4 linked regions of the Rhinolophus ferrumequinum genome follow. The protein of the gene in region 1 interacts with the protein of each later gene in a pairwise test. Links are inferred from orthologs where the notes say so. Each region holds a gene or a part of one and is shown in the gene's direction. Other genes may lie near its edges.

Region 1 (7,662 bases):
CAGCGTAAGTGTCTTGCGCTCTTCTGCAGTTTTCTGTTTGAGAAGAATCAAAACCACAAGTATTATGAATCCTAACTCTCTCAGGGGGCACTGCTAATTAGCAAACTGGACAGCAGGGTTGTCGTTGATGCCCAGGGGTGTTAGCTCTGTCACCTGCAATCACTGATAATCATACTGTCCATTCATGTATTAATGAGCCTCACTATATATAGATAGGGAGAAAAAGAACATCTGTCACAGTCTCAAATTAATCAGTTTAGCCATCAACTAATGAGTTGCTGAATAAAATATCAATAGTGTTTTCTAATTTGGGCCTAGGACAAAGCTGTTGCTTGTCATAGAAAACAATACTTAAATATAGCACATTATAATTAAAGCAATTTCTTGCATACTTTTCATTTTATTCTTAAGACAGTTATGTGAAGAAGGCAAAGTATTGTCTTTTTTCCCTTTCTTCCGCCTCTCCGCGCCCCAACTCCTGTTCAAGCTGTTGTTTCCCAGTCTAGTTGTGTAGGACACAGCTCCCTAATCCATGCTGGTATTATGAGCTTTGCGCTCCCCTCCCAGGCAGTCGGTCACCAGTCTTCGGTTGCCATTCTTCAGTCCGCCGCTCACAGCAGCTCATGGCACCCCAGCTCCAGGGAGAGTTGTTCAGTCTTAGCTGTAGAGGGCACAGCTCACTGGCCCATGTGGGAATTGAACCTGCAACCTCGGAGTTAGGAGTATGGTGCTCCAACCACCTGAGCCACCTGGTCGGCCCTGTCTTCTTTTTCATAGAAGAAATCCCTGTTATAGATGTTAAGGTTTTTGTCTAGCCACACACAAATAAGTGACAGAACTGATATTAGACTCTTAGTAGGACTCGTGCATGGGTTCAGATAGATGTGAAGGTTATTACAAAGAGGGGAAAGCAGGAGCGAAACTGGGGCTTTGGAAGTCTTTTGGAACACACTGGAGTAGGATAGCTTGGGTGCTCCTACGAGGAAAGGTCTAGAAAGATGACATATCAAGACTTCATAAACCCTAATTTTCTACTTCCAAATCAAACATCTAATAAGGTAGCATACTTCATAGAAAAGCATTTCAGCTGCAGTTACCAACTTGAAAAGCTAATAGTAGGAGGAGTTTGTTATCCCAGACTAGAAATGCATTTCCTACCAATTATAAATTTTATGTGGGGCTATGTAGCAATGTCATTTTTGAAAGGATTTCATTTTCTGTGCATGTGTTCTGCTTCAAGTGTCACATTTCTAGTTATAATGATTTATTGTAATATTTGCAATTCCTTTTAAAACTTGCCTGGTAGAGTTGTATTGTACCAACTTTTGTAACATACGGAAACACTGTATGATCTGAGGTCTTATCAACCTGAAAACGGAACATGCTGACATCTCAGAATTTTAGACCTGCTTACTATGCCATCTTTATTGATCCCTGATAATAAATGTAGAAAGTATCTGAGTATTTAAAGCAAGTAGAGTCAATCAGTGTTTTAAACATAATAATACTTCTATGATTCAAACTGAGATCATATAAATCAAAGCAACAATTTGGATTTTTGTAAACAATATTGTAACCTTCACAAAAACAGATGGTCCAACCCCAGGAACAGATGGTAACTTGGGCAGATCTGTGGGGAACAAGAGGAAGAAACAATTGTTCTAACTGCCCACTAGGAGAGTGGTTTCAGCTACTACAATTCTCAGCCTTTGAAAGCAACAAGGGAAGAAAGTACTGTTGGTCCCTGTGGCTGTGCAGATACCTACCTCACAGAGTTGTTGCAGAAGATTGACAGTTTGTTCAAACTTTGTGATTTAAGAGTTTGTCAAGAAGTTATTCTTTTGAATAAAAGCAATATAGCTAAAATTAAAAAGTACTTGTTATCTTCCTGTTTCTTTAATATTGTTTGCTTTCAAATTCCGAACTCCTGAAATAGTATTCAATATAATGGTTGCAATGGCTTTCTTTTTCATTAATGGACATGAAGTATTTTGTCACATTTCTAATTAATTTTGCTTAGGTATTTTTAAATTTAAAAAGTAGAAATGCTTTTGAGGAGAATTTGATCTGGGCAATCTATATTAATTCTGGACAAGGGTGGAATTGGAATTAAGAGATTAGGCCTGCACCCTGATTCCCCACACCTATTCCTTTTGTGTGTATTTGATAAAGGAAATGTACTTTCCTGAGACTGTGTCTCTTATGTTTGCCTCTCTCCCTTCTCTCTGAAACGAAATGTACTTCAGGCTCTTCCATTTTGCCAAACAGCAATCCATAAACCTGCGACTGAGTCAGAATAGGAAAGGGCACTCACTCAAAGTTTGAAGACCCTAAGACTTGTCTCCCAGGACCAGGCCAGTAGGCTTTAAGGGCTGTTGACAATCACAGAGATAAAGACAATCATTGAAATTTTGTGTTCTATCAGAACCAGCTCATTTTTATGGCATCAATATTTAAGCACTAAGTCCAAGACTGCAAGCAAATTTGAGGTGTTATCAGTCACTGTCATCTTTATCTAATTGCATCCTCTGACTCATCCCATGTCCCAGATTGGTGCATGAGAGGAGTAAACATTGTCAGAAAACACTGAGCATGTTTGAATACTTACTTACTTTTTAAGAGTAGTGCTATTTGGCTGTAGGCCTTTTGATGGGAAAGTAGTATGTGACATAAGAGAGGGTTAAGGGCTAACGATGTTTTAAACTCACTTGATACGTAATAGTTTAGATTTCAATGTTTTAAAACACAAAGTTAAAAACTACTTAAAAATACCTGATATTCAGATCAAAACATTCACCCTTCTAATCGGTGCTAGAGAAAACCTGGAATTTCTAGCTACATGAAAATCTTGTTTCACTAATCCTAGAATATTAACGTTGTAAGGGTCCTTACAAATTGGCTAGTTTTTGTATTTTCTCTGAAAATCAGGTGAAAGCTATGGATAGCTCCCCAGAAGAATGCATACATACACATGTATGTATAATTTCAATTTATTTTCAGGGGATTCAAGAACTGACCATTCATGGATTCAAAATTAAGAATTCCTCATTTCATGCTACAGCCTTACTCCACAGATGAAGATAATGAGACCCATAGAGAATGAATGCTAGAGTATCTTTTTAAATAAAAATTGTTTATAGAAAAAGAAAGCATAGTTGGGTAGAAATTAAAACCTAAACTTAGATATTAGTGTGTTCAAAAACATCTTTAGCCCTCTCCTATGTCAAAACAAGGGTCTTATTTTTCCTCAGTTTATTAAACAAGACAAAGTTTACCTTTCTAGAATAATTGTAACAAAACTTTTTTAATATCAAGGGTGACATCTTTTTTCCTTAAAAAGTGTTATATTAGTAAATAATTATCTCTTGGCCTTTCAAGACTTTGAAAAACATCAAACTTCCAATTAACCTTCTTCAGTTTATCCCTATTGTCTTTCACTTAAATGGGCAAATGAAGAGAACAAATGAACACAAACATCGCTCATTCTCTAATAAAAGGCAGTCCTGCATATTTTGTGCGGCTCATTTGCTTAGTAAGCTGTTTTATTAAAGTACAAAAAACACCGTTTTACAAATAAATAAGGGTCAGATAATTATAAAGTGGTAATTAGTTTAACCATCACTTCAGTCAAGACACATTACCACCATCCCATAAGCCCCCTTCATTGCCTCTCCCCCAAAGTAACCTCTTCTCACTTTAGTTTTACCTAAAAGGATCGTATATTTTATTTGACTTATTCATGTAAGAACCACCTATATTGTATTAGTCATAGCTTCTTTGATTGCTGTATAGTAGTCTACTATATGACGATACAATTTATTCATTCAGTAATGGACCTTTGTGTTGTTTCCATCAATATTTTTACAAATCATATACAATCAGTTCAGTAATGGACCTTTGTGTTGTTTCCATCAACATTTTTACAAATCATATACAATCAGTGGCTGCCCTTTTAAAAAAATGGGCGCAATTACCCAACGACCTCAGCTTTACACCTGTCCTCCTTTAGGCCAGCAGACCCAACAGACCGTATTGTTCTCCACGCTAAACCCCCAGATAAATTAACTCAAGAAAAGGATGGCCGCGGAGCCCGATCCGGGTTCACGTTCCGGTCCCCTCGCCTCTACTCCCAGGCTGTTTCTTTCTTCCTTCCGGAAGCTTTCTTCTCCCGCCCACTTCCGCAACGCTGAGCCCGCCGGGCAACACGCCGGGTCTCAGCCAATCGTCTGCTTCTCAGGGAACGTTACCTCTGACCTCAGGGCTAATCACAGACGGTAGGACGAACTCCTCGCGAGAAGTGAGGTTGAAGCTGCCTTCGCCATCTTGGAGATGGGAGTGGGGAGATGGCTGTGGTCCTCTTGCTACTGGAAATAACAAAACGGGCACATTAGTCACTTCCGAGTGAAGCTATCTTCACCTAACTGTTGGCCAAAGCTACAGAAGAAGTGAGGGTGTCAAAGCCGACCGCAGCGACACTGATAGCAGCTTCACCTGCCAGCTGCGGCGGCAGAAGTGAAGCGACGGAGGACCGAAAGGATGGTGCAGTCCTGCTCCGCCTACGGCTGCAAGAACCGATACGATAAGGATAAGCCCGTTTCTTTCCACAAGTAAGTACCCTTCGCGCCTCGCGGGACTGGCCCCAGCTCGGGCTGGGGGCGCGCGTCCGTTCAGGTTCGGGGGCGGAGCCAGGCGCGTGTCCGCGCGAGACCTAACGAGAGGGGCGGAGGCAGGGGCGGGGCGCGGCCGGGCGTTCCTCCGGTGCTATTCCAGGCGGGGAAGCGGTGGGCGTGCCCGCTTGTGATCTAAGCCCGCGCCGGGTAGCCCCGGGCTGCGCGATCTCGGCGCGCGTAGCCGTAGTGATCGTTTCTCGAGTTTGAGGATCCACTCCGGTGCGAGGTTTGCTCGCTGCCTGGGGTTGGCGAGTTTCGGACCCGCGAGCAATTCCAAGCGAGTCCCTGCGGGTTGTGAGGTCTCCAGACCGCGAGGCATCTGGATTTCACTACCAGGTCATAGAGAAGCCAGGTGGTAATAACTCTTTAGAAATAAATTTGAAATAGAAACAGAGACCTTTAAAAAGAAGTCATTCTTTTCATCCTTGCTGTGGATGTTAGGCCCAGCATCACTATGGATTGATTTTTGGCCAGGATTTCAGGGAGGATGTTTTTGACCCAGTTTCTAGGAATCAACCATTAAGGATCTCTTACGTTTTAGAGACCGTTTCTAGTGCTGCTAAGATGAAGAGTATATGTTTTCAGCACACTGTGATGATAACATGGACAATAATAATACGGACCATGATAAAGTGCTATGATAAAGGTCAATGTGAGCTATTGTGGGTGCACAGAGGAAGCCCGTAGAATAGAACCTACCCCACAGCCTTCAGGACTGTTTTATGCTGAAGGTGCTGGCAATTAGAGTCCTAGAGGGAAAATGTTTTCTTGAAAAGAAAACCGCAAAATGGAAATGACTTAATGATAAATACCTGCAAAATGTGCGAGGTGACACGATAGCATTTTCATTCAACCAAATTCTACAGTATTTACAAGTTTTATTATGTTTACGTCAAATTTTTGCAAGAATTTTCTGCTGTAAATGATGACAGCTAAGAAATTAGAACCAGTGGTGAATTACATGAATTACTCATAGCTAAATAGTTACAATAGCACAATTTTAAATATCAGGTTTTTATTTGGTGGAAGTCATTTATGTTTAAAAGCAGATGTGGATGCATTTTTTACATTCTTGATATAATACAAGAGGGACCATACAGAAATAAGAGTGCCTAGAGCATAGATGTTGAGTGTTGATTTTTTCCTCTCTTCTGAGAAGGAGCTAGAACATTTACCACTTCTAGGATTCAGTTCATTATATCCTAATATTACCTCTTGAATTACTGGAATTTCTGAAAGCTGATGAATTGACCTTTCCAGGACTTTGAAAGTGTAGGAATAGGTCAGGAGGTTGTAACACAATCACACGGGTTCAGCTCCCCGCCTCCCTGTTTCTCATGATGTTTCAAAGGGAATCTGAAAATATGGAAAATCCTTCATTGACACTGCAAACTAAAAGATGACATTCACTCATCAGAATTACTGAGTTTCTGCTGGCTGTTAAACAATTCATTCAACCAAAAGAAGGGCTAACCCTGTGCATTTCATCCCTTAGCTAAAAGAACAGTTTTTGAGGAGTAGATAGGAAAGATTTTGATAAAACCTCACAAACAACCTGAGCACTTGTAGTGCTTGAGTCAGAAGGCCCTATATGCTAAATTTTACCAATGATTGCTACCATACTTTGCACTGGTAGAGGCCGTTTCTAGCCAGAATCTTCTAGGAGTACTTCTTTCCCCAGTTTCTACATGGTGGCAGTGGGAAGAGCTATGCCAGGCAAAGAAAAGGGACTTTCGTAAAGATTGGTTAGATCTTCATGATAATAACAGAGTAAGGTTCTAGCATACCTTACATGGGAAAAACTGGAACATAAATTGGAAACATCCTTCTTTGGCTTCTTTCCAGTCCCCCCCAGCTTATTAAATCCTTGACCTGGAAAAATAAAATCACAATAAATTTAAACTCTTCCTACGTCCCTTTATCTGGCCTACTGGACATATTCCAGTAGATAAAGAGGTAAATCAAAATGAGTTTTTAAATTCTTTAATGATTTAAGTATATAATTTGATTATTCCTTTTTGTCAGACTGATTCTAAGAGAACTAGAAGCTTCCTATTCTCAGTATTTAGATAATAAACAGGCAATTTTGTTTTACAGTACACAGAAAATTACTGGTAAAAAAAATACAGATTCACCCTATAGTATACATTTTATTTGAAACTTTTAGTGTCTTCAATGTAAAAATTTAAACAATAATAAATGAGATAGATAAGAGAATTACACGATTTACCCATGTGTATTTAGAAGTGTGTGGAATACCGTGTTTCCCTGAAAATAAGACTGGGTCTTATATTAAGTTGTGCTCCGAAAGACGCATTAGGGCTTATGTCCAGGGTATGTCATCTTGAAAAATCATGCAAGGGCTTATTTTCTGGTTAGGTCTTGTTTTCAGGGAAACATGATACCTGCATTTGTTATTGAAAGTTTTTTTACTCTAATGAAGGGGGAAAAACAATATACTGTGTATGGGCCCTCCACCCCCAACCTTTCATCACCTACTTTTCCCACTGCATGGCTAACTTTTAATATGTATTTTTACATTATGTAAATTCTTAATCAGCCTGTCTTGTTTAGATTGTATACATCATTATATCTGACATTTTAAAAAGTACTGTGTGATCAGAAAGATTTCTATAAAAACTACTGCTTTTTAAAAAAAACAACAGTGGAATGGCCAGTTAGTCCAGTTGGTTGGAGTGTGGTGCTAGTAACACCAGGCTTGTCGATTGGATGCCCTCATGAGCCACTGTGAGCTTCGCCCTAAAATAAATGAATCAGTCAATCAAACAATCAAAAAATACCATGCTGGAAGGGGTGATTTATATCCCACATTAGTGGGTGGTCACTTTATTTATAGGATCTTCAAAACAAGTACAGTTTTAATGAACTTAGGTGAATAAGACACTATTAAAAACTGTCAGAAAAAAAAAAGCGCATAAGTAGTGTTTTAATCAAATACTCCTTAATGTGTTAACACCAATGTAAGATCTTT
Region 2 (8,119 bases), on another chromosome or scaffold:
TGAATGAATCTTTTACCTGTCTGTGATTGTATAACATCATGCATTAGTCATGAAAAATATGGGGTCCCTGAGTTACGTCGATCTTCCAAATATTGATTTCATTATATAGTATCACTACACATCATGTATCCTCTGGAAAAGCACTGTATATTTGTGAGCAAATGAGAATGAAAAAGGCAAATAACATTTTCGTATAATTATAAAATAGTTCTTATCCCGTGGACCCCCCCTAAAAGGGTCTCAGGGACCTCCAGGGGTCCACAGGGCACATGTTGAGAACTGCTGGCATAGTACAGGTAGAATGGAGATGATAAGGAATTATTAAACATACACACACACTCCGAAAGAGGGCAGGAGAAGAGGGGGGAAAAAGAGCAAAGGACAAATGGTACAGATAGAAAAACAAATAGCAAATGATAGATTTAAGTATACGAATTGATAATTTCACTATGTATAAATGGTCTAAATGCTCCGAGTAGAAGGCAAAGATTGTCAGACTGCATAAAAATGCAAGTTGCTACTACTATATGCAATTCTACAAGGAACAGTCTCTATTTTCTTCTGTGGGGCCCACTTCTTTACTCCACCCTAACCCACTTTTTTTTTTTTTTTGAAATATTTGAATTTGGTTAGAACAGCTCTGAAAAGTCTGGGATGAGACCATGAGAATCTGATTAGAGTGATGATGGTGATAATGGAGAAGAAACTAAAAGTCAATTAGAAGGAACATGGTCAAGCCTTAGCTAACCAATAAGATATGGAGGAAGAAAGACAGGAAACCAAATATCCCTAGAGAGGATCCTATGATTTGGAAAATGAACAACCTTAATTGATTTCTTGAAATTTTCCTCTATCCTGATTTGCCTTGGTAAGTAACCCAATGTAAGTTGGTGAAGAAACACACTTTAAATATAGAGACAGAAAGGTTAAAGTGAAAAGACAGAAGACTACGATGGGTTAATTTCATGTGTCAACTCGACTGGCCTAGGCGTGCCCAGATTAAACATTATTTCTGGAGGTGTCTGTGAGGGTGTTTCCAGTGAGGTTAGCATTTCAGTCAGTAGACGGCCCTCCCCAGTGTGAGTGTCGCCCTCGGACTGGGATATGCACCATCAGTTCCCTTGGTTCTTAGGCTTTTGGATTTAGATGGAATCACAACACTGGCCTTCCTGGGTCTCCAGCTTGCAGATGGCAGATCGCTCCTCAGCCTCCATAATCATGTAAGCCAATTCTTGACAATCTCATAATAAATCCATCTCTCTCTCTTTCCATCTATATCTATATATCTCCGACTGGTTCTGTTTCTTTGGAGAACCCAAAAACAAAAAAATACAATACTAACACTTATCAAAAGAAAGCTGGGGCAGCCACATTAATACCAGTGTACTGATAGCTAATATTTTAGAATGCTTGTTGCTTCTCTCCCATATTTATTCTATCTCACCACCCTATGATAGCATTACTGATGAAGTAACTTGGGCACAGAGTAAGTAAGTAATTTGCCCAAGGCTGCACAGCTAATAGTAAAGATATGAGCGTGGGAATTGGACTACATAGTCCAAACCCATAACCACTAGGCTTGCTACTTCCCTAAAAATACATAGAAAAAAAAAAGTCCATAATCCCACTTCCCAGGTACATTAGTTTTTAAAGTTGTGAACTAGATATAACAAAAATGCGTAATGCCCATATGTGCATTGTATAAAAACAATTATCAAGCTGTACACCATCGCCTGAGTCAAGAGGGAACATACTCCCCCGTTCTCCCCACCCCGTGGGATTCACCCCGATCATACTCTTCTCCCTCTCACTGCGAGGGACCCACTGTCTTGACTTTTGTGATAATCATGTCCATGTTTTTCTTTACAGATTTGCCATCTACTTACGTTTTCCTAACAAATATTTTATTTTTAGCAAATTTCTATTATGCAACACAGTGTTATCAACTATAGTCACCATGTTATACATTAGATTCTCAGGTCTTGTTCCTCTTATAGCTGAAAGTTTGTACCCTGTTATCAACCTCCCCTTCTTCTCCCCACCCCCTAGTCCTGGAAATCGCTTTTCTATGATTTCTTTGAGTTTGACTTCTTTTTTTTAAAGATTCCACATACTGTAGAAAATGCAGTATTTGTCTCTCTCTGTCTGGCTTATTTATTTCACTTAGCATGATGCCCTCCAGGTTCATCCCTGTTGGCACAAACGATAGGATTTCCTTCCTTTTTAAACTGAATAATACTCCATTTTGGCTATTGTGAATGCTGCTGCAGTGAACATGGGGGTACAGCTATCTCTTTGAGACAAAGGTTTTGTTTCCTTGGGACATATACCCAGAGTGGGATTGCTGGATCATATTGTAGCTCTATTTGTAATTTCTCGAGCCTCCATACTGCTTTCCACAGTGGCTGTAGCCATTTACATTCCTATCCAGTGCACAAGGGTTCCCTTATCTCCACGTCTCTCCAGCATTTATCTCGTCTTTTTGATAAGAGCACAAATGGAATGTTAGGTCTTTCTGTGCATGGCTGGACACTCACTATATGTATCCTTTTGGATCTTTTCCTCATTGTGATTCTTTCCTGTTGTAAAGGAATTTCATTGGTTTTCACGGGTATTTGTACTGCATCGAAGAGTATGCTACAATTTACTGACCCAGTCTACAGTTGATGGGCGTTTGGGTTATTTCCAGTCTGGGGTTATTACAGTGTTGCTATGAACCCTCTTTGAAGCGTATCTGGGTGCACTCATTCTCAATATATCGGGTGAATACCTAGAAGTGGAACTGCTGGGTAAAGGATATGGCTATTTTCAACTTTAGTAACTATTTTAAACTATTTTCCAAACAGGTTGTACCAATTTAGTCCCAACCTCAGTGTATAAGAGTTCCTATTGCTTCGTATCAGATGCTCCGTAATTAACCATGAAAAGGTAATAACGTAGGTGAATGGTTAGATGATAACTGTACAAAAACATATAAATGAGAAGTAAAGGCCTTACCCCTAGTCCTTTTTCCAAAGGTGTCAACAGGTTCTTCCGTATCTTTCCATAAATATTAGGTATTATTTTAATAATATATTTGTTTTTAAAACAACTTGTGTATATTTCTAGTCCAAAAAGTGTGCAAATTAAATATAATGAATTAAATATCTGCTGTTGTTAAATACATTGCTGTTGGTAAACCACTACTAATTCAATCATTCGTAAAATATTTATTGAGCATCTATTATGAGCTATGCACTCTTCTAGGAGTTTGGGATACAACAATAGTCAAAAATGCCTGCTTGCATGGAACATACATCCTAGTTGGTGGAGACACAATAGATAGATGAGTAAAATATATGTTGAACGGTATTAAGTGCTAATTAAGAGAAAAACAAACCAGGGAGGGGGCTAGGGAGTGTTGGAGAATTTTAGATAGGGTGAGTGGAGAACTGAGGATGTGAAAGGGTGGGCCACGTGGGTCCCTAGGGCCAAGTGGTCTCAGCATATTAAAGGCCCATCAGGGAGGTCAGAGCGGCGAGAGTTCAGTGACCGAGAGGGAGAGCAGTAGGTGAAGCCGGACACATGGAGGTAGGTGTGGGCAGATTCTTGAATGCCACAGCTGGAGAAGTGACCACATTCTAGACTTACGTTGAATGTAGAGGTGGCAACATTTGCTGATGGGTTCGATGAGGGGTGTGAGAGAAAGGGGGGGGTTGTCAAGGATGACTCTAGGTTAGCTTAAGCCATTGGAAGGAAGGGATTGTGACTGAAGTGGGAAGACTGCAGGAGGAACAAATTCTGGGGGACTATGAGGATGGTGGAGAGCGTTGGATGCCTATGACACAGCCTGAGTGAGCTGCGGCCTAGGCAAAAGCACATATGAGCCTGAAATTTAGAGAGGTCTGCGCTGCAGATTATGTGGCAATTATTGACTAGATGGGACTTAAAGTCATGAGAGAGGATGAGACCTCCAGTCCAAGCACTGCTCGGGTCTCCTCTAAGTCAAGTTCTGAGGAGGAGGAGGTGAGGCAGAACAGCACAGCAGGCTGAGCAGAGTGGCTAGAAAAACAGGAGTGGGTGATGTCTTGGAAGGCAGAGTCAACGTTTTGAGAGAGATAACGTCTGCTGTTGAGAAGACAGGTAAAACGACTTCTGACACGAATTATTGGGTTTAGCAATTTGGAAGGAATTAGTGACCTTGATAATTGGGCAGCAGAGATAAAAACAGAAAGGAATGGGTTGGAAAGAGAACGGGACGAGGGAAGAGGAGAGAGGGTGGACGTATAAACAGCTCTGAGAAGTTTTGCTGAAAGAGAGGGATAGAAATGGCCCAGTAGCTTGAGGAGAAAGTAGAAAAAACTAAAAGGGGAAGGTGAGAGACTGTAAGGGGAGAGATTGTGTAAAACCATCAGCACTATAGCAAAAATAACTCATGGTATTTTTGCTAAGGGACTGGGCCCCCCCACTGAGATCCTGTTCGAAAACAACTGGCAATCATATACAAGTGGTTAACCCGGGAGCACCCTTTTCTCTTTACAGAAGCCAGGACACAGTAACATTTGGACTGTTATGGTCCTGGGCTCCCTCTGCCGTGTTTGCAGCGTGGGCCGTGTCAACAGACCCCGGTTCCCTGCTTCTCTCCAGCCCATCTAGGCTGGTGCTGCTGCAAAGGCACTTGCTGCAAAGGCCTAACAGTTCCTAGCTTCCCGTTTTGTGCATTCACGTGCCGCCCTGCACAACTCTACACAGCAGCTCCGCCACGAACGCTCGTTTACAGGAAACCGCCTCCAATTTCCTCTCGGGGCTGACTGTAGAAGGCGAAACCCTGACGCTCACTCTCGCAGGCCTTTCTGACACGCAACGGCCACGGGGCCTCCGCATCCGGCCTCTCCCGCCCGGTGGGCGCACGGTGAGACCACGAGCTGGCAGGCGCCGCGGGTGGGCACGCCACGCACAAACCACACCGCGCGGGGCGAGGCTGACCCACGCGGCCGTCCCGCCGGCACCGCCCAACCGCCGCCGAACCTTCTAGAAGCGGCGCCCCACGGCCAGAGCCCGACGCCCAAGGAGCCCGCGGACGCCAGGGGCCGGGACGTAGGAGGGGTGGGGAGTGCAAGACGACCGCATCCGATTCGCTGCCGGCCCGGAGGCCCCGCCACGCCAGCGCCATGGCCCCGCCTCCTCCCTCCCCCTCCATGGCGCCGCCCGGGCTCATTCATTCCGCGCCCGGCCCGCCAGACACCTGCGCTCTCCTTCAGCTGCCCGCCGCCGCTGCCGCCAGCATGTCGGGCCCCACCACCGAGACTCCGTCCGCCATCCAGATCTGCCGGTAAGAGGGGCGCGCAGCGCGAAGGACGGCCGGAAGGCCAGGTCACGGCCCGGCCTGCCCCTCCGCGCTCTCCCCGCCTCCGCCCCGGGCCAGGCCCATCATCTTCGGCCAGCCGTCCGTCTCCCGACCCCGCCCGCCCGCGGCCGGGTGCGCCCCGGGTGCCGCAGACACAGCGGCCTCCTCGTGCGCGTCCTCGCCGGCCTCCCGCGCATCCCCCGGGCGGCGCCGCGGTCACGCAGGCCGTTTGCGCACTGATTCGGCGCGACGCCCTTTCCTGGCGGGGGTCGGAGTGCGGCCCCCCTGCGCCCCGCCCAGCTCCGCCCCACCGGTGCCCAAGCACGCTGGAACCCCAGCCCAGGTCCCACTGAGTCCCCTAATTCAGGGTCGTTTTCTGGGTAGTGGTGCAAAGCCAACCGGATCCCCCGAGATGTGGGGCGCAAGTAACCAGCTCGCTGGTCGGCGTCCGGAGCCCGGCGAACCCATCGGTGGGTGCCCGAGTGGGCGGGGGCTGCAGATGTACAGTCCCTTTTAGTGCACCGCTTAGGTTTTTTTAGGGGAAACCAGGATTAACCCAAAGAAAAAAAAATATCCTTCCTCTCTAACAGTTTACTGCTAAGAGGGAATGGTCCATTGAGCCTGGAAGCATCTTACACAATGGGGGCAATTGTTTGTTCTCAGCAGACCACCCCTGCCTTTCTCCACGGGTACCAGGTAGATGGAGGCCCCCAGAGGAAGCGGGAGATCGGGAACTGGCTCATTTCCGACCAGAGGATGGAGGGCAGCCTCAAGGTTACTCTTCATTCCCTTGGGCAGAATCTGAAGCAGGCTCGCTGGTATTTGAGCTTGAGCTAAGTAAGGGCAAGGCTGCGAAGGCCGCACAGGCACTGGGGGCCTGCAACAGGGCCTGTCCTGCGTGGTGCACCGCTAAGAGTGACAGCTGCTTCCTGTTTTGGGGCAGGTTCCACAAATTTGGGCATTGGGTATCACGCTAACCTTGGGTCCAAGCCAGGTTAGTTTCCTGTGGATGTTAACATCTCTCTGGAAGAGTAAGTGCTGGATCGGTGGGGTGCCCTGACCGCACCCCCTCTTCTGGCCTAGTCCAGGGCCTTTACTGACTTCAAGGTCAGTTTTTACTTTTCTAGGGAGAGGGAATCTTCGGGGGAGCTTTGCTCCATTCCCTTTGTTCTTGGCTGTCTTGTCCACCCCCCACTCCAAGTTCCTGGGGCAAAAATAATAGAAGTGACTGCTATTTGGAGAGAGCGGGGCCTGGAATCAGGTCCTTGGTTCAGGCTCTGCCTCTTATTGGCTGGGTGACCTTATTGGCTGGGTGATCCTTTGCAAAGGGCTTGTATCTGTCTCATCGCGCTTGTTTTGTCCAACTTCCTGGGAGGAGGCAAGGATCTCCACCACTCCCCATATGTGGAGGAGGAAATTGAATTTCCGCAGACCCAGTGCCTCTGAAAGGTCATCCAGCCACAAGAGCCTGAGGAGCAGCTGCTGCCAGGTCTTCTGTCTCCAGACCCGTGCTCTTTCCACTGCACTCCCAAAAAAGAAGATACTGATTTCAGTCTATTTGTGGACAGCTGGGCTTTTATTTACTTCATCAGGCTGATGAAAACCTAGGCTACACATATTATCTTGTTAAAAACCAGCGTCTCACCTGAAACTTACATAATGTTATTAACCAATGTTACCCCAATAAATCTAATTAAAAAATAAGTATCTGAAAGCCCCAGCTTCTAACAATTAATAGATTTTTGGATAGCTTTAGACACTTCCATATGTGCACAAGCCTACATGTGTGGGCTTTTCTTGCTCACTGTGCTTTCCGGACTGCCTCTTGCATATTCACAATTGCATATTGTCTCGGCTGCCTTGGCTGTGGGATGCTTGGGCAGCATACCTGGCTGAGGTGAGCCTGCCAAAGTGGGGAGGGCTTGGTCACAAAGGCTTGGTCCAGTGAAAGCCCAGGACACAGGAAAGAGTGGACACACCAGTGTGGGGAGCCCTTTAAGGATATCTGAGCCGACACCCTGTGTTGAAAGAGGAGCCTCCTGGCCTAGGACAGCGGAACCCATGAATTTAACAAGTTTCACTGGACGCTTCCAAGGAGGAAAGTGCTCTGAGGGAGGGACACCGACCTGGAAAATTTGGTCCTTACCTTACGGGGTTTCACAGTTCAGCAGGGGGAAGATGCCCAAACCCCCACCATCCTGCACAGTTAAGAGTGCTCACGTGCTTTGGGTTCCGAAGGAGATGTTGAAGGGCTTGGGGCTCTAAAGGCTGGGGAGGGCAGTGGTTAGAGCCAGCTTTGTAGTCCCACGCCTGGGTGTGAATTCAGCCTCTGCCACTTGGCTGCCTAACTCTTCTGTGCCCCCATTTTCTCATGGGTTGTTCCGAGTGTTACAGAAAAGAAAATGCATTTAGTGCTTGCCAGAATGACTGGCGCATTGTAAGCAAATGGAGGCTCTTTTTGTCTGAAAAGTGGGACGCAAACTCAGGACGCTGACACCCTGGGTTTGAATCCCAGCTCTGCCTCTTGCCGGTGTGTAGTTTTAGGCATGTTCCTTATAGTGTCACTGGGTCTCAGTTTTCTTACCTGTGAATCGGAGATAACAAGAGTGCCTGTCTCAGGGGTGCTGTGAGGATTAAAACCTTTGGCACCGTGCTCTGCCTTTATAAATGTTGCGTTCACCAAGAGAACCCTTTGTCTCTGAGAACCGGAATTTTGACGGCTGGGCCACTGGAGGGCGCTGTCCCCTCCTTTTGATCCATCCCTACGGATGCAGGTTCTTGGGACAGTGTTTA
Region 3 (8,455 bases), on another chromosome or scaffold:
GAGGGAGGACTGTGGTAAGATGATGCCATTAGTGTGTCCTCCGAAAAGTTATGTTCAAGTCCTAACTTCCAGTACCTGTGAATGTTAACTTATTTGGAAATACAGTCTTTGCAGATGTTATCAGGTTAAGTTGAAGATTACTGGATTAGGCCCCACACACAGAGGGAAGACTGCCATGTGAAGATGGAGACAGAGATTGGAGTGATACCAAGGAATGCCGAGAACCACTAGAAGCTAGGAGGAGAACAGGATCCTTCTCTATAGCATTTGGAGGGAGCACGACCCTGCCGACACTTTGATTTTTGGATGTCTGGCCTCCAGAACTATGAGAGTAAATTTCTGCTGTTTAAATCCACCCGGTTTTTGCTGCTTTGTCACAATAGTCCTACCTAGGAAACTAACACACCACCTCATGGCCCCTCCCCTGACTTGTTCTCTTTGCCTGGAATGTTCATCCCAGAGATGGTTGGATGGCACATTTCCTCCTTTCTTTGAGGTACTTGCTCACATGAGCCCTTATCAGAGACATCACAAATAGCAGCAAGTCCCCACAGCCAGCATTTCCTTTCCCCCTATCCTGCTTTGTTATTCTTCAAAGCATTTCCACCACCTGACTGTTCATACAATGATCCACTAATTGTTTGTCTTCCTTCCCTGGAATGGAAGAATCCTGAGGGCAGGGACTTTTGTATATGATGTTCGTGGATACACCTTCATATATTTAGGACATGGTAGACACTCCCTAAGTATATCCTGACTGACTGACTGAATGTCAGTGCAGGCAATACCTGCCAAATACCTCCCCAAAGCAGAGGAGAGAGTACAAGAAAAAGAAGAGTATCCTGTAGAGTCAGATGCCTAGTTCCGTCACAGTTATTTCACACCAGCTACGCGACCCTGTTTAACCTCTCTGAGCTTCAGTTTCCTCATCTTTATAAGTCAGGACAATAGCACTTACATTAAAGTGTAATTTTGAGGATTAATTGAAAGATTTTGTCGTTAAATAATGGAGGTACAAATCTTTTTGTATAATTCACATATGTCTAACAATTAACATATATCCTACATGTGTGTAGGTATTGTTACGTGCATTCAATGTGGTAAGCACTCACATTCATATTAGAGTCATTATAATGTAGTGGTTAAGTGCATGGCTCTTCGAGTCATTCTGCCTGGTTACATACTTACCAGTTGTGCAGCCTTGAGCAAGCTACTTAACCGCTCTGCCTTAGTTTTCTCATCTGTAAAATGGAGATAAGAGTACTTCATAGGATTTCTGTGAGGATTATTGAGTTAACCCACATGGCTGTTTAGGATGGTGTCTGGCACCTCCTGAGTGCTCACTAGATGTTAACTACTACAGTCATGTATAACAAAGTTTCCGTCAACCACGCACTGCATATATGTGGACCCATACGACTATAACAAAGTTGAATTTTCTGTAGGAAATGGTAACGTGATTCAGGAGGATTTTTTTTTCCCTAATGGGATCAGATCTGTGGAGCTTGGCAATAGATCCCTCTGACTCACGGCACCTCAATTTTGAGTGCACAGATTATACCCCAGTCAGTCAGCCACTGATCTGTTTCAGCACAGAGAAACCTGTCCCCCCAGCACTGTATATTCAGAGGGCACTACAGCCCTCCAAGATGTAGCCTGATGGTCTTCAGATACATTGCTGTAAGTTCTTTGTTGAGGACCTAAGATGCTGGACAAAAACACATGTCCACAGGAACTGGTACTAATCTATGCATTTCAGGGGCAGTTCCTGGCAAACTGTCAGTTTAGTAAAAGCTTTCTGTGGTGGTGTGGAGCCAGCCTGTGCCTGTACTTTTTAAATATTTTCAGGTTGTAATGATGTAAAGCACAGATAAGTTTTATTTCTTCCATCAGTTCAATGCCAGAGAGAGCCCTTTGTGCCAGATGGGGTCAATGGAACCAAAAACAAATTTCCAAAGTCAAAATATTGAGTCCTCAGTTCTTCATCTTCTCCACGTTAAACACCTTAAAAAAAAAAAAAAAAGAATACCGCAAAGTTCCTTAATCTGACCACTGCTCCAACATGCAATAGCCCAAATCACATTGCCATGATAATTTCCTATGTTCCTCGATCTCTCCATCTTGATTTCTTATTCCTCCTGATCCTCAGGCCACCTTTCACTCCCTCCTGACAGTCACTGTTATGGTGATGTATGCCTGACCCAGCCAGTTTCTCCTTGATATTTCTAATTAATCCAGCCCACACCCGTTCATGGAGCAGCACTGACAGCTTTGATGTTCTATTTCTGACCCTGTCAGAAGGAAGCAGGGGAGGGCTGTGGGACAGTTTATAAAGTCTACAGCAATATACAGTTATGTTCTAGGCCTTCACATTCACTCAGCACTCACTTACTGACTCACCCACAGCAACTTCCAGTCCTGTAAGCTTCATTCATGGTAAGTGCCCTATACAGGTGGACCATTTAAAAAATCTTTTATCCTGTATTTTTACTGTATCTTTTCTATATTTAGGTATGTGTAGATACACAGATACCATTGTGTTATAATTGCCTACAGTATTCAGTACAGTAACATACTGTACAGGTTTATAACCTAGGAGCAATAGGCTATATACCATATAGTCTAGGTGAGTAGTAGGCTAGACCATCTAAGTTTGTGTAAGTACACGCTATGATATTAATATTTGCACAATGATGAAATTGCCTAACGATGCATTTCCTAGAATGTATCACCATCGTTAAACGACATGATGGTATTATTTTACCATCTAACTTAATCTTCTGTGCATTTCTGGGGCAGTTCCTGGCGCATGGGTGCTCCATAAATCCTAATTTCCTTTTCTGGCCCCTCTACGAAGTCAGCATGAGCTGCCCTTCTATTACATTTCCCCATGCCCCCCAACAAGTTGAAGCTTAAATAGTCTTGGCCTAGCTGCACCATCCAGAAGAGTGGCTGCCTACCCAGACGAGGCCAATGGCAGAGAGAAAGCAAAAGAGAGAGGGTGGATGCAAGAATACTCTACAAGTAGAATCCACGAAGATGTGTATTAGATGAAGAGGTATAAGGAAGAAGCAGGAACTACAAATGGTTTTGAAGCTTCTCAAGTGGGTAACTTCATGATGGGGGTGACGATTTCCAAACAGGGGACAGTGGAAAAGGGGCATATTGGATAGGGACTATGGAAGAAACTAAACTTTGTTTTGACATCTTAAATTGGAGATGCTGGTGGAGTAAGTAAGTGGAGATATCTTGCAGAAAGCTGAAAATACAAGTTGGATTTAAAGAAATGTGGGTGCTTTCAGTGCTGATGGGAGCAACTGACACCACGGGAGCTGATATGATTAGTGGAGAACATCACTTAAGCAGAAAAGCAGGCTGATGGCTGTGGACACCTTCTGAACATTTCCATCTTTCTGTCCTGTGGGAGTCACAAAATCAGCATGTCCAGAGTGGAATTAATCATCTTCCCAGCAAACCTATTTCTCTTCTTCTCTAGCTGTGCAAATGGCACTGACCAATCTCATATTCACTCTGGCTCAAAACCTCAATCATCTATGTCTCCTCTCTTAATTCTTTATGCAGTAGGTTTCCTCTATAGAAAATTCTGAAAATCCATAAAAACAACAGGTAGTTGTTTATAATGGAAATATTTTAGATGATTTTTAGTGTATCATTCTGGTCATATTCCTATGCAAATATAGATTTAATTTCCTTTATACATGAATAGAGTCATACTCTACACTTTTAGAGTAACAGTTTTATTGAAGTATAACAGTCATGCAGAAATGTACACAATCAGAAATTGATGACACTTTATGTCCTTAAATATTCTCCCACATCAATTTTTAAAAGGCCACAAGGTATTCTATCCCATAGCTGTACCATAATTTAGATGACTAATCACTGTTGCAAGATTTCTGGCTTTATTCTAGTATTTATTTATTTCTGGCTTTATTTCTCACCTCTCCCTCCACAATGTTGCAAAGATGGATTTACCCGTATTTAACATTTTTGTGCCCATTTCCAATTTTTCCTTAGAATAATATTCCTAGAGGCTGAATTTCTGGGTCAAAAGGCATGTGCATTAAAAAAAAAAGCTTTTAATTTTAGAATTGTTTTAGGTTTACAGAAAATTACAAAGACACTTCAAACAGTTCCTATATAGTTTCTCCATTAACATCTCGTGTCCCCATCCACACCTAGTTTCTCCATTAACATCTCACGTTAATATAGCACATTTGTCACAATTAAGGAACCAATATTGAGATATGATTAGTAACTAAAGTTCATACTTTATCCATATTTCCTTCCTTCTTTCTTTCCCTCCTTCCTTCTCTCTCTCTCTTTCTCTAATGTCCTTTTTGCTGTTCCAGTATCCCATTTAGGATACACCTTTACATTTAGTTGTCATGTTGCCGTAGGCTCCTTTTAGCTGTGACAGACCTTCCTTGTCTTTGATGACCTTGACAATTTTGAGGAATACTGGTCAGGCATTCTGTAGAACGTCCCTCCATTGAGGTCTGCCTGATTCTCTTCTTATGATTAGACTGGGGTTACGGGGTTTGGAAAGCCAAGAGATAAAAGACCACTCTCATCATATCTGGTCCACACACTGCCAACATGATTTATCACTGTTGATGTTAACCTTGATCACTTGGCAGAGGTAGTATGTGTCTCGTTTCTCTACTATAAAGTTACTCATATCCCCCCTCTTACTGTACTCGGTGAAAGGAAGTCACTATGCGCAGCCCACATTTACGAAGTTGGGAGTTAAGCGTCAGGGTGGGGTATCTACATAAGTTACTTGGAATTCTTCTGCTTTACAGAGTTAGCTCTTCTTCTCCTTTATTAATGTATTCATATCAGTATTCGTATCATTAACTTACAGCAGTATGAACTCATGGGTAGTTCACTTATACTTGGAGTTATAAACCAACAGCACTGTTTTGTTGATCAAGGCATGTGTATTTTTAATACTCTGAGTAACCCATTGAGTAAAGCTACCCCGCCAAAGGTTATACCAACTCTGATGGTTAAAATGCGGATCCATAACCCCTCCATGTCACACCCTTTATAAAAGTAGCTCAGCAAACAAGGGCGAGGCCTACGCCCCTCCCTAGCGCCCACTTTCCTGATGCCCCTCCCCAAAGAAGATGAAGCCAGCAATGGGGGGGGGGTTCTTCCCCGGACGGGCTCCTCACCCCCTGCCTTGCCGGGGCCACAACCGCAATCGCTTCTAGCGCATTGTCTGGTCTCCGGGTTTCCCCAAGGTCCCGCCCTCCATAGGGCGGAAGTTGGCCGGGCCGCGGACCGGAAGCGCTGGACCGGGGCGGGCTGTCTCGCGCAGGAAGCTCCTCCCACTCCGCACTGCCCCACCCCTCCGGCCTATACCGGAAATGAGGTCAGAGGGGGAACCCCGGCGGGGAGACTCGGCCAAAAAAGCGGAGGCCGGTGGAGGTACCTGCGGCAGCTGGTGAGGAGGAAATGTGGGTTGAGAGGGTCAGGGGCCAAGGGGCCGGCGCCAGTGGGGCTTCGCGCTCCTGGTCGCGGCTGAGTGGCCAGGGGCTTCCTGGGACCTCGGCGGCCGGCGGGAGGGGCGAGGATGGTGGGGCCTTGTTTTTCAGGGCCCATCTCCTCCGTCCCAGGGGATGAGAGTCGGGCCGTTTCCGGGGCGACAGTCACCTCTTCTTTTCTCTTTATGGCTCTTTTTGGGCCGAGGACAACGTGAGGGCTTGGTGTCCAGAGCCATGGTCGCCCTAGTCCTCGGGGGCGGGCCGCGGCGTTGGTGAGTCCTTCGAAACGCGCCTTTTTCTCACGTCTGTGGCCAGGTTGCAACCCTTGCACGGAGAGAGCTTCGTCGCCAGGACTTGCTTTTTCGCAGTTTCTATCCTAGAAGAGCTGACCCGACCCCCCGCCCCGCCCCTGGTGATCACGAATGAGAAGTTGACTCCGGCCTTTCCTTCCTCCTCCGACCCCAGCCCGGTCTCCCGCTCCGACCCTACGCCTGCGTCTCATTTCTACCAATTTCCCCTTCCTTGGCGCGACTCAGACAGCCTTTCCTCTCCATGAGTGCTTGCCTGTGCCCGGGGGTCCTCTTGGACTGTGCATCCGACACTAGTGGTGTGGGACCTGCAGGGTTCTTCTGTCACTTGCAGTCTTAGAGGCAGGAAAAGATTCTGCACGGGCATTCGACTCCCAGTTGTTTGGTAACTTAGTTACACGTTGAAGTTTGTACAGTTCTGCCTGAGTTTTTAAAGCAGTTCTTTATGAGGGAAGTCGATTTAGACATGCTGTTCCCACTTGTTTATCTACTTTGGTCTTAGGACAGTTGTCTCCCAAACCCCAATCATGGCGTTTTAAACTACTTATTGCTTAAAGGGAAGTGGTCATTTTATGTGTGGCTTTTGACACTTTGAGTTTTGTTTGGTTGGTAGTTTTGGAACTAGCTGTCCCCATTGCTCCCACCATTGTGGGAGATAAGCCAAGCCAGCTTTTTTCCTGCCTTTGAGTTCGTTGGCATAGGGACAGCATGAAAATAGCTTTTAGAAAGTTTTTCGCAAAATGTAAACTGCGTGAACGGAAATATGGTCTGAGAGTGGCGCCATGCAGTTTTAAGTTCTAATTATGGTCTAGAAATACTTGGGGCTTAACAAGGGCTAGGGAAAAGTGCTAATTTAATATGTATTTAATTAGGTGTTGTACAAATTATATTAGACATTTCCCTATAAAAGGGCATTTTGAAAATTGCTCATATACTTTCATCCCTTGGAATGTTTGCCTCTGAAGTGACCCTGACAAGAATGAATAGAAAAGTAGGAAATTTTGGAAAGCAGTTAGCTAGAAATCTTAGGGACTCCACACATCCCTGTAATTTCAATCTCAGTTATATCCTGTTTATGTGTGATTGTCTAGCACTAAAGCACATAATCAGGCTGATCACTTATTTTCCGAGGGATGGGGAAAAGAGTTTAAAAATTGCTAATTATTAAGAAATATATGCGGTACTCTATAAGGATTTTACCTGGTATCTTCCAGGTGGTAGTTGGGACCAGAATAGGTGTAAACTTAGTATCTTTTTTCCAGTCAGAGTACAAACCTGGGTCAGTACAAATTCTTGGATCACTAAAACTGCAAGCAGCCTTCCTTAAAGTGTGTCATTAGGTTGTCTTTCTGTTCCCTTCCCCAGCATTCTTACTAGTAACCCCCGGCCATAAAACAGTCCTTCATCCATGGTTTTGAAGTTGTGTGTTTTTCTGCTTCTGTCTGATGAGACTTTCTCTAGTCTTTCTGGATCTCATCGTCATGTAATTTAGTGACAAGTTTAATTAGGGAAAAAGGGGAAAGATTTATTTCCCCGAGTTTGCTTTGTTTTGCTGATATCCCAGTTGTCATTTGCTGAATTTTTGTTTTTTTTGTGCTTAAAAACATGTTGACTTCAGGAGTTGAACAAGGGCCAAACACCTATTTTCAGTGGCCAAAATGAGCATGGATGGTAGGAACAGATTCTAAGTGTAGCCAGATAAAATGTGAGTTTATTTTCTATAGTTTGGGCGGGCTCCGCAGTGCCGTGATCTATTTTAAAAAATTGCTCTAAAACAACAGGTCCTGTTCAGGCTCTCTTTTTCTCTTTTTGAACTTCCTGTTGGCAGATGTGGCCTCATGGATGAGCTGGTACACGACCTCACGTCAGCCTTGGAGCAGACGTCTGAACAGAAGAAGCTGGGTGAGCTCTGGGAGGATATGGCCTTGAGCCCTCGGCAGCAGAGGCGCCAGCTTCGCAAACGGAGAGGCCGGAAGCGCCGGTCAGACTTCACTCACCTGGCAGAGCACACCTGCTGCTACAGTGAGGCCTCTGAGTCCAGTCTGGAGGAGGCCATTAAGGACTGTCGAGAAGTGGCCCCGGTCACCAATTTTAGTGACTCCGATGACACAATGGTAGCCAAACGGCACCCAGCTCTCAACGCCGTTGTTAAGAGTAAGCAACATTCTTGGCATGAGTCCGACTCCTTTACGGAAAATGCTCCTTGTCGACCACTCAGGCGCCGGCGGAAGGTGAAGCGAGTGACATCAGAGGTGGCTGCCAGCCTTCAGCAGAAGCTCAAGGTGTCCGATTGGAGCTATGAGAGAGGGTGTCGGTTCAAGTCTGCGAAGAAGCAGCGTCTGTCACGCTGGAAGGAGAACACTCCCTGGACCTCATCTGGCCACGGATTGTGTGAATCAGCAGAAAATAGGACTTTCCTCAGCAAAACAGGAAGGAAAGAAAGGATGGCGTGTGAAGCAGATGAACAAAAACAGGGCTCTGATGAGAACATGTCAGAATGGTGAGATCTCCCTTCACTAAGTCAAAGATTTGCCTGGTTAATTTACCCAGAGTACAAATCCACAGTCTTGATGAGTTCACCTTGCTTTCAAACCTGCCACTGTGGTATTGACTGCACAGCCCTCCTTTAACCGG
Region 4 (7,693 bases), on another chromosome or scaffold:
GCGTGCTCTGTGGGGAGGGGGCAGCTCTCCACTCGGACCCGGGGCCCCTCTAGATTCCAAGTGCTCTGCACTCGCAGGCTGTCCTGCCAGCCTCACTCAGCTCTCACTCCAAGTCCTGCAGAGCCTGCCTTCAGCCTGCCCCGGCTGTCCCCATAGCCACTCGTGACTCCAGCCAGGACTCAGGAAGAGAGGGGCAGCACATCGTTTATGGGGGTGCTGGGGATGCGAGTAACAACACACTGGGGCTTGGTGCAGGTTGCCTGCGTGTGTGCACGGACAGGAGCGTGGGGTCTCGCAGGCCTGGTGCCGGCGTCGGTGGAACCCCGCGGCTATGGGCCTGTCAGCAGGCATGGGGGTGCACAGCTTTTCCCTTTTCTTGCCTTATTGCATGGCCAGGACAGGCAGCATGATGCTGACCTGCTGGCCGGCCGTGGTGGGAGTGGGTCTGCTGCCTGGTTGCTGACCTTGGGGGGCAGGGGTTCTTGTATATGTCACCTGTCAAGTTGAGGAAGCTCCCCTCTTCTAGTTTCTTGAGAATTTATATCATGGATGGATGTTGAATTTTGTCAAAAGCCTTTTCTACAATTGATGTGATTAGGTGATATTTCTTCTTTAGCTTGGGGGATTACACGGTGGATTATATGGATTGATTCTGGAATATTGAACCAGTCTTGCATCTTGGAGTAAACTCCACGTGGTCCTGGTGTATCATCCTATTTCTATGTTGCTGAGTAGGATTTTTGCATTTATATTCATGAGGGATTGTGGACTGTATTTTTCTTTCTCTGTACTGTTTTTGGTTTTGATATCAGCATGTAATACTGGCCTCAAAATGAATTGGGATGCGATCCCTCTACTTCCATTTTCTTCAAGAGATTGTATAGAGTTGGTGTGGATTCTTCCTTAAGAGTTCAGTAGAATTCCAGTGAAGCCACTGGATTCGGACATGAGCTTTTGGAATCGCAGACATTGGGGCCAACCCTTGCCAAGGCCCCACGACTTCAGGGTCAGCGAGGCCCACTTGGCAGAGACACCAGAGCCCGGCTGCTCTGGAGGGGCTGGCAAGCGGCTGTACAAAGGCCTTCAGCAGGATTTTGCTTTCCTCCCTCTTGCTTGTGGCCAACAGCGGACATTGCTCACCTGGGGCTCGGGCTGGGTCTTCACCCCTGCTCCCAGGTCCCACCTGCAAGCACTTTGCCTCCAAGCAGGGGTGTCCCTGGGGGCAGGGCTGAGTGGGAGGGGAGTGGTGTGTGCAGGCACTGAGCTGGCTGTGAGCAGCTGTCTGTATCCAGACAGCGCTCCGAACCCCAGTCTCCTGGGGGTTGCCCCAGCGTCAGGTTCTCCAGGAGGTGGCGTGCCCAGGAAATTGGGCATGCTGATCAACCATTCTGGTTCAGAATGTCTACTTAGGACGTAGTTGTTCTTTCCTTGGTGATCCACATGATTGTGGGGTGCCTGATGCCCTGGATTTGAAAACAAATTCTTATTGCCTCTTGGAAGTTTTGGTGGCAATTTCGTGCTTCCAGAACTCCAGCCTGGCAGGGTTGCTTATACCCCACCCCCGTGTCCCCAGCCGCCCCGGCTTCCCCTCTGCCTCACGTGGGCCTCTGGGCCCCTCCGCAGGACTTGGGTCTTGCGTCCCCGCTGCCTGGACCACGTGTCTCCCACATGTCCGAGAGCTGTGTGCACTCCCTCACTGCCAGGTCTCTACTCAGCTGTCACCTTCCTGGTGCCATTTTCCTTGACCTCCATGCTCCCACAACCATTTTAAGTTACAAAACCTGAATAAACCTACTCTCTGTCTCTCCTACCTAGTTTTTCTCAGTATCGTAGCCTTCTAATGTCATCTTGCCGTGGGCAGGTATCTTAGTCTATTCGGGCTGCTATAGCAGCGCACCACAGACTGGGAGGCTTATAAGCAACAGACATTTCCTCCTCTCAGTTCTGGAGGCTGGAAGTCCAGCATCAACGCGCCAGCAGATGCCATGTATGGTGAGGGCCACTCCTCGCTGTGTCCTGCCATGGCAGAAGGGGCCTCGCCTTACCCGGGCACTAATCCCACTCATGAGGGCCCCACCCCGACACCGTCACATGGGGGCTAGGGCTCAGCATGTGACTGTGGGGACAGAACACGCAGTGTGTGGCAGCAGCATGTTGGTTCTGTTCCCCACAGCACGCTAGCACTTAGGGCGGCTGGCGTGAAGAGGGTGCAGAACAGGTGTTTGTGGGGTGCATACAGGTCCGTCTTTCTGACCAGGGGCTGCTGCTGAGCTGACTTGCCTGTGGGGGTGGGGTGCTGGGGTCTCTCAGTTCCCTCGGGGCTGACCCAGCTGCTGCCTCCAGGTTCACATGGCAGGTGGGCCCCTGGGTCACACCCTCCCACTCCACCAGCTGGACCTTGGTCTCAAAGGTGCTTGGGGTTGTACCGGGTACCATTCCTCTTGGAGCCCTGGTGCTGAACCACGGGGTGCCTTGGCAGATAGCCTGGGGAACAGAGGGTGTCCTGCAGGCTGGGCTCAGGGCTGAGACGGGCCTAGGAGGGAACCCGGGCTCAGGAGTAGGCAGACCTGGCATACTTCACACCCTCTCTGAGCCTCAGTTTCTCCATGTGGAAGGGAACATGAGTGACAGCCCGCTCTGTCTCTGCGTGTCATGTCCTCAGCCAGCATCTCTGTGCCTGTTCACCCTGCTGCCAGGCCATCTGTCTCCCCCTCTCCTGTCTCCAAAAGCAGCCCATTGAGTCACCAGAAGACGACAGTGGATGAAAGCGGCTGACGAGAGGGCCCTTGGTTCAGAGGACTGACCATGGAAAGAAAGGCACTAGAAAGTCAGCACACAAATCCTCTGGGACTCCAAAGACCCAGAACTGAGTTCATTCCATGAAATTGGCAACTTGGAAACTTTTTTTTTCTTTTTTTAACATTTCCATATCTGTAAAGTGGGACACTGATGCCAGCATCACAGAGATTAAACAAGGAGGCACAGGTGAGCTTGCCTAGCACAGAGGCCACTGTAGGGGGCGGGCGCCCACCCTGCTCTGCCTCCCCTGCATCCCTCCCGCTCTGGTCCAGGCCTGTGGGTGGCGGGGAAATGACCAAGAGCAAAAGCACAAAGGGACGCAGCCTTGGCTCTGGGACCTCAGAGATCCTTATCAGGCTGGGAAGGTGGGACACCCACACCCCAAGCAGGACATCCACACCCACTGGCCGTGCACAGTGGGCAAGGGAAGAAAGGGCTTCTAGAGCACACCTCACAGCCCTAGTACAGGGTGTCTGGAGCACCTGGCCTTCCCCAGAGACGCGGGTGAGACGGGCCTGTTCAGGCCCCTGGGACCAGCCCCACCTCCAGAGCCTACTGTGGGCCCTTGGGGGTGCTGCAGGAGTGTGGTTTTTTCCTTTGGATCATAAAATTGATCTGCAGTCTTGCCTTAGAGGGAACACAATCTCTCAAAGAGGTTTAAGGCGCCATTGTCCAGGACAGAGCTGTGTGACTCATTCACTGATTCCCTGGGCCTTTACTGAGCAGCTGCTTCTTGCTGGACGTCAGTGCAGTGGTGAGCAGACACCCCCACACCCCCTTCACCCCTCCCCCCCCCCCCCCCCCCCCGTCCTTGTGGAACTCGCATATGGGGGGACTGGACATTAATGAGAACGGGGGGGGGGGGGGCGCTGCTCTGGGGAGTGCGGGGCGCCATGGTATTGGGAGGGTGCTCAGTAGGTGACGAAGAGGGGTCCCTGAAGCTAAGGATGACTTAGGTCTGAAGTGAGGACAAGCGAGCGCTGCAGGCAGAGGCCCTGGGGGGACACAGGAGGCCAGGGTCAGGGAACCTAGGGTCCTTTGCTGCAGGTGGTGAAGAGGTGGGAATGGAGATGGCGCGCGGGGCCCCAGCCTCATCGTCAGATTTGCGTCCGTGGTTTGCGCAGAGAAATGGGGAGCAGCTGGGGGCACTGCACCAGCTAGTTTTCCTGCCTCCCGTGTGGGCGCTGCCAGGGAGCCTGGCGCCATGGCTCTCGGCGAGGAAAATCGGAAGCAGGGCCTGATGACCGGCGGACCCCTGGACGTGGGCTCTGTGTCTGCAACTTCGAGGCCGAGCTGCGGACTGAGAAGTTGCCCTGAGCCTCGGATCCGTCTTCTGAACAACCTTGTTAAATAGGGAACCCGGCAGGGTGGGTGTTAGTCCGTGCCCATCGCCCGCTGCCGCGTCTCCTCACCCCGGACTACATGGCACGGGGGGCTTCCAGTGTAGACCCTGGGTGGGTCTAGGGATCTGCGCCCCTGTGTAGCTGTCGGGCCCCGCCCACCGCCGGAGCCACGCCCAGCCGGAGCCACGCCCACCTCCCGCTTTCCACACGCGGAGCGCGGGCGCGCTTGCGTCACCGTCCAGCCGGCTGGATCTGGTTCCAGCCGCGCTGGGCTAAGCTGACATGCGCAGTTCGTGGGGGCTGAGGGGTACGGGCCTGGGCAGATTCGACAGCCGGGGACGCGGAGGTCGGTGCGCCGAGCCCCGGAGCGGGGCCCATGGGGCGGGCAGGTATCCGTCCTGCACGTGCGCGTGGGGGGCAGGGCTGTTCCCGGAGGGGCTGCGGGAGTCCCGGCGCGTGTGGGCGCCCTGCGTCGGCCTCCACCCTGGAGACCCCAGACTTGGGCCCGAGGGCGTCACCGTGAGGGCGTGGCGCCCCTCCCCCACTGGGTTGGGCTCCACCGTCGTCTTGGGGCCCCGGCCCGGCGCCCCGCATTATCCCTGTTTCCTGATTCCCGTTTACAGGCGAAAGAGGGGACTCTGAGCCGAGCTCCAAGCCTCGGAGCCCTGCATGGGGAGGAGGAGCCCTGCCGAGGGGATCTGGGGTGATCCCCCGACCTTGGGTGCCCGCAGACCCTCGGGCTGCTGCTCCAGGCCGGAGCTGTGTGCGCCCTGGGGTCCAGAGCCCTGGATTCTAGTCTCAGCTCCAGGCCGTGTGACCCCAGACAAGCTCCCTTGGCTCTCTGGCCCCATTTTCTAATCTATAAAACCCGGGAGTGGTCTCAACTACCATGTTTCCCCAAAAATAGAACCTAACTGAACGATCAGCTCTAATGTGTCTTTTTTGGAGCAAAAATTAATATAAGACTCCATCTTATTTTACTATAAGAGCTGGTCTTATATAATTAATGTAATACAATACAATACCGGGTCTTATACTAAGTTTTGTTCCAAAAGACACATTAGAGCTGATTGTCTGGCTAGGTCTTATTTTTGGGGAAACACCATAGTCTTTAACCTACCCCATCCCCCCAGGCCAACCTTGTGGTCTGTTTGTGACCAATGTTCAGGGCCTTTGGATAGCCCAAAGCCGCCATACCTTTGCAAGGCCCACCCCCATATTGCACATTAAACATCACTGTTTTGAAGCAAAAACCCTCACCAGTATTTACTATTTTGCTTCTGAAATTATTGGGCTGTGAGTAACGCATTATTTAGCAATGTGATTGTTTTTAAAAATGCATTGTTTATGCTCAGGAATTCTTGCAAAGTGAGAAAAACCTAACCCATAAATAGTTTCCAAATGTGATGAAATGATTTTGAAAATTCCATTCAATAATTAATGAAGTTGATACAGTGATAAACATTTGTTTTGATTTGCTGTTTATCTTGAAGCCAATAACATGTTTTGCTTTGATTTTTTTCCCCCATAGCTTAAAGCTTTTGCAGGTCCTGAACAGCCGAAGGGCAACAGGACGGCTCCTTAATGGGGTGAAGGTGGGATAGGAAGGGGTCCTGAGATGAGATTTTAGTTGCAATGTTATTTGCTTTGCACCCAAAGAAATGGCAGTTTCTCTTCTAACAACAAGGAGCACGAACGCTACTGAGGAGGTGTTGCAGTCCAGAGACTGCTAGATTGAAATGGGATGAAAACATTTGAAAATCTTGAGCACAATTATTTTTTCCTTAAGGGAAGTGGTGTTGGTCAGAAGCTGTAGGAAAGCTCGCCTTCTGCGCCTGCTCCTGGAATCCCAGGCCGGCCTCTACTGAGCTGGGGAGATAGGTGTCTTGGTGCCTTGGGGATGTGTTTCAAATGTCCTTCACATGACAAGGTCAGCACTGCCAAGTTAGCAACGACTCAGCTAATTTTTGGAAGTTTTGAGTACGTTTTATGTGTGTTGAATGTGATTCCTAGACTTGTTTACAGCTCTTGTACTTAGTATCCAGTCGGCCGTCAGCCTACCAGCACGGCATTTCCAGATTAAAACCCACTGCAGCCATCGCGTCCTAGTCAGCCACATGTTTCCACAGATGAAATAAAGGCAGATTTGAAGTCTAATAGTTAGGAAGGAGATGGGCATGGCTGGGACCTGCAGAGCAGAGCGGCCTTCTGCTGACACGGAAGCACGGCTGTGGATGTGAACCTCACCTTCCAGAAAGGCCGTCGCTTACGCCCCACATTAGGCTGTCGACCATGCAAAACACAGCAGGGCTCCAGGCCTGCCTGGGCCCACTAGTAGTGGAAGAAACGGGAGCACTGTAAGTCATCAGGCAGCATCCTTATGCCCAAAGTCAAAGGGGGGCCCACCGGCCATACACAAGGATAAACAGCTCATGCAAAGGGGACCTCACCAGGGGCCTGTTTGCTGTCCCCGAGATGTGGGCAAAATGAGGCCAAAGGCTTAGCTGAGGTTCTGGGAGGCAGTGGGGCTGGTGGCCGGCGTGATGGGCAGGGCTGCCCTTGGAGGTCGGGGAAGCCGACCTTGGAGGCAGGAGACTCCGCTCGGCTCCCTGCTCCGCCAAGCAGTTCGCCATCCCCCTTCTGGTGGCAGTGCCGTGGTCTCTGCAGCTGTGAGGTGTTGCAGTGTCCTAGGGATGTGTCCTGTGCCTGGGCTGTGGAAGGCCCCAAGGAGGCAGCGACGGCGGACCCGAGCAGCCTGCCCCAGGAGTCAGCATGCCCTCCAAGGCCTTACAGACTGGCTGTGAAGGAGCAGGTCCTGCTGAAATCCCAAAGGAAAGCCGCTTTTGCACAACCCCACCCCCACCCCCGTGAGAAGAATCACTGGCCCCTTGGCTCCTTGGAACAGGGTCTCTGGAAATGGGTCACGCGGCCCTCCTGTCAGCATCGTTCTTCGAGGACTGGAAGTGTTCCTGATGAAATGCGCTGTATTTTCCCTGCCTACCACTGTGTTCTGTGATCTCTAAGACCTCAGCAGCCCTGAAGAACACTCGCAGCCTGCGGGCACACAGGTCACATCTGAGCCACCGACGTCCTGTGGGTTGCTTCTCACCTCTCCCCCACAAACTCCACTGCCAACGTCGCCCCTTTTCCCACAGGCTCAGGCAGAGCCTCAGTCACAGCTTGGCTCGGCGTGCTCCTGTGTTGCCCCGCCGTCCCCACCTGGAGCTCTTCACGTGTGTCTCAGGGACCAGGCTCACGTTTTACCCTGGACCTCCATCTGGGGGGTGCTCTGGCAGAGGAGCCGCTGGGATTGACCGGATTCCACCTTGGACCAAAACTGTTCTGGGGACCTCCACCCGTTAGTGACACTGACTCATCCTTCTGGGTTAGTGCCCACCCCGTGTACCTGCTTGTTAGAATTCCTCCCAGCAGAGAAGGGGCTGGCTGCTGATTGGTTGTCTCTGGCTTACAAGATAAAGGGAGGCAATGTAGGTGGCATTTGTGTTGATGTTGGCCCTTTAGCTCTGTCCATCAGCCTCGGGTCCCTGTGG

Evidence for each region. The genes of interacting proteins can lie anywhere in the genome.
Region 2: the proteins of THAP1 (region 1) and ACOT7 interact in binary tests that used the Homo sapiens proteins (3 or more experiments, as listed by UniProt). The two-hybrid records come from large-scale screens. The link is inferred for Rhinolophus ferrumequinum from reciprocal best matches to the Homo sapiens genes THAP1 and ACOT7.
Region 3: the proteins of THAP1 (region 1) and GPATCH2L interact in binary tests that used the Homo sapiens proteins (3 or more experiments, as listed by UniProt). The two-hybrid records come from large-scale screens. The link is inferred for Rhinolophus ferrumequinum from reciprocal best matches to the Homo sapiens genes THAP1 and GPATCH2L.
Region 4: the proteins of THAP1 (region 1) and C24H7orf50 interact in binary tests that used the Homo sapiens proteins (3 or more experiments, as listed by UniProt). The two-hybrid records come from large-scale screens. The link is inferred for Rhinolophus ferrumequinum from reciprocal best matches to the Homo sapiens genes THAP1 and CHLSN.

Annotation. Positions count from the first base shown.
Region 1 is NC_046287.1:57,931,834-57,939,495, forward strand, and holds the start of THAP1 (THAP domain-containing protein 1), read left to right. Parts: upstream 1-3,986; 5' UTR 3,987-4,536; coding exon 4,537-4,607; intron 4,608-7,662. UniProt on the Homo sapiens protein: DNA-binding transcription regulator that regulates endothelial cell proliferation and G1/S cell-cycle progression.
Region 2 is NC_046292.1:3,884,382-3,892,500, reverse strand, and holds the start of ACOT7 (cytosolic acyl coenzyme A thioester hydrolase), read left to right. Parts: upstream 1-4,820; 5' UTR 4,821-5,150; coding exon 5,151-5,311; intron 5,312-8,119. UniProt on the Homo sapiens protein: Catalyzes the hydrolysis of acyl-CoAs into free fatty acids and coenzyme A (CoASH), regulating their respective intracellular levels.
Region 3 is NC_046289.1:22,707,397-22,715,851, reverse strand, and holds the start of GPATCH2L (G patch domain-containing protein 2-like), read left to right. Parts: upstream 1-5,156; 5' UTR 5,157-5,473; intron 5,474-7,649; 5' UTR 7,650-7,659; coding exon 7,660-8,321; intron 8,322-8,455.
Region 4 is NC_046307.1:44,272,753-44,280,445, forward strand, and holds the start of C24H7orf50 (uncharacterized protein C7orf50 homolog), read left to right. Parts: upstream 1-4,394; 5' UTR 4,395-4,424; coding exon 4,425-4,488; intron 4,489-7,693. UniProt on the Homo sapiens protein: Hormone secreted from the intestine in response to cholesterol, where it acts to inhibit cholesterol synthesis in the liver and VLDL secretion,leading to a reduction in circulating cholesterol levels. Acts through binding to its receptor, GPR146.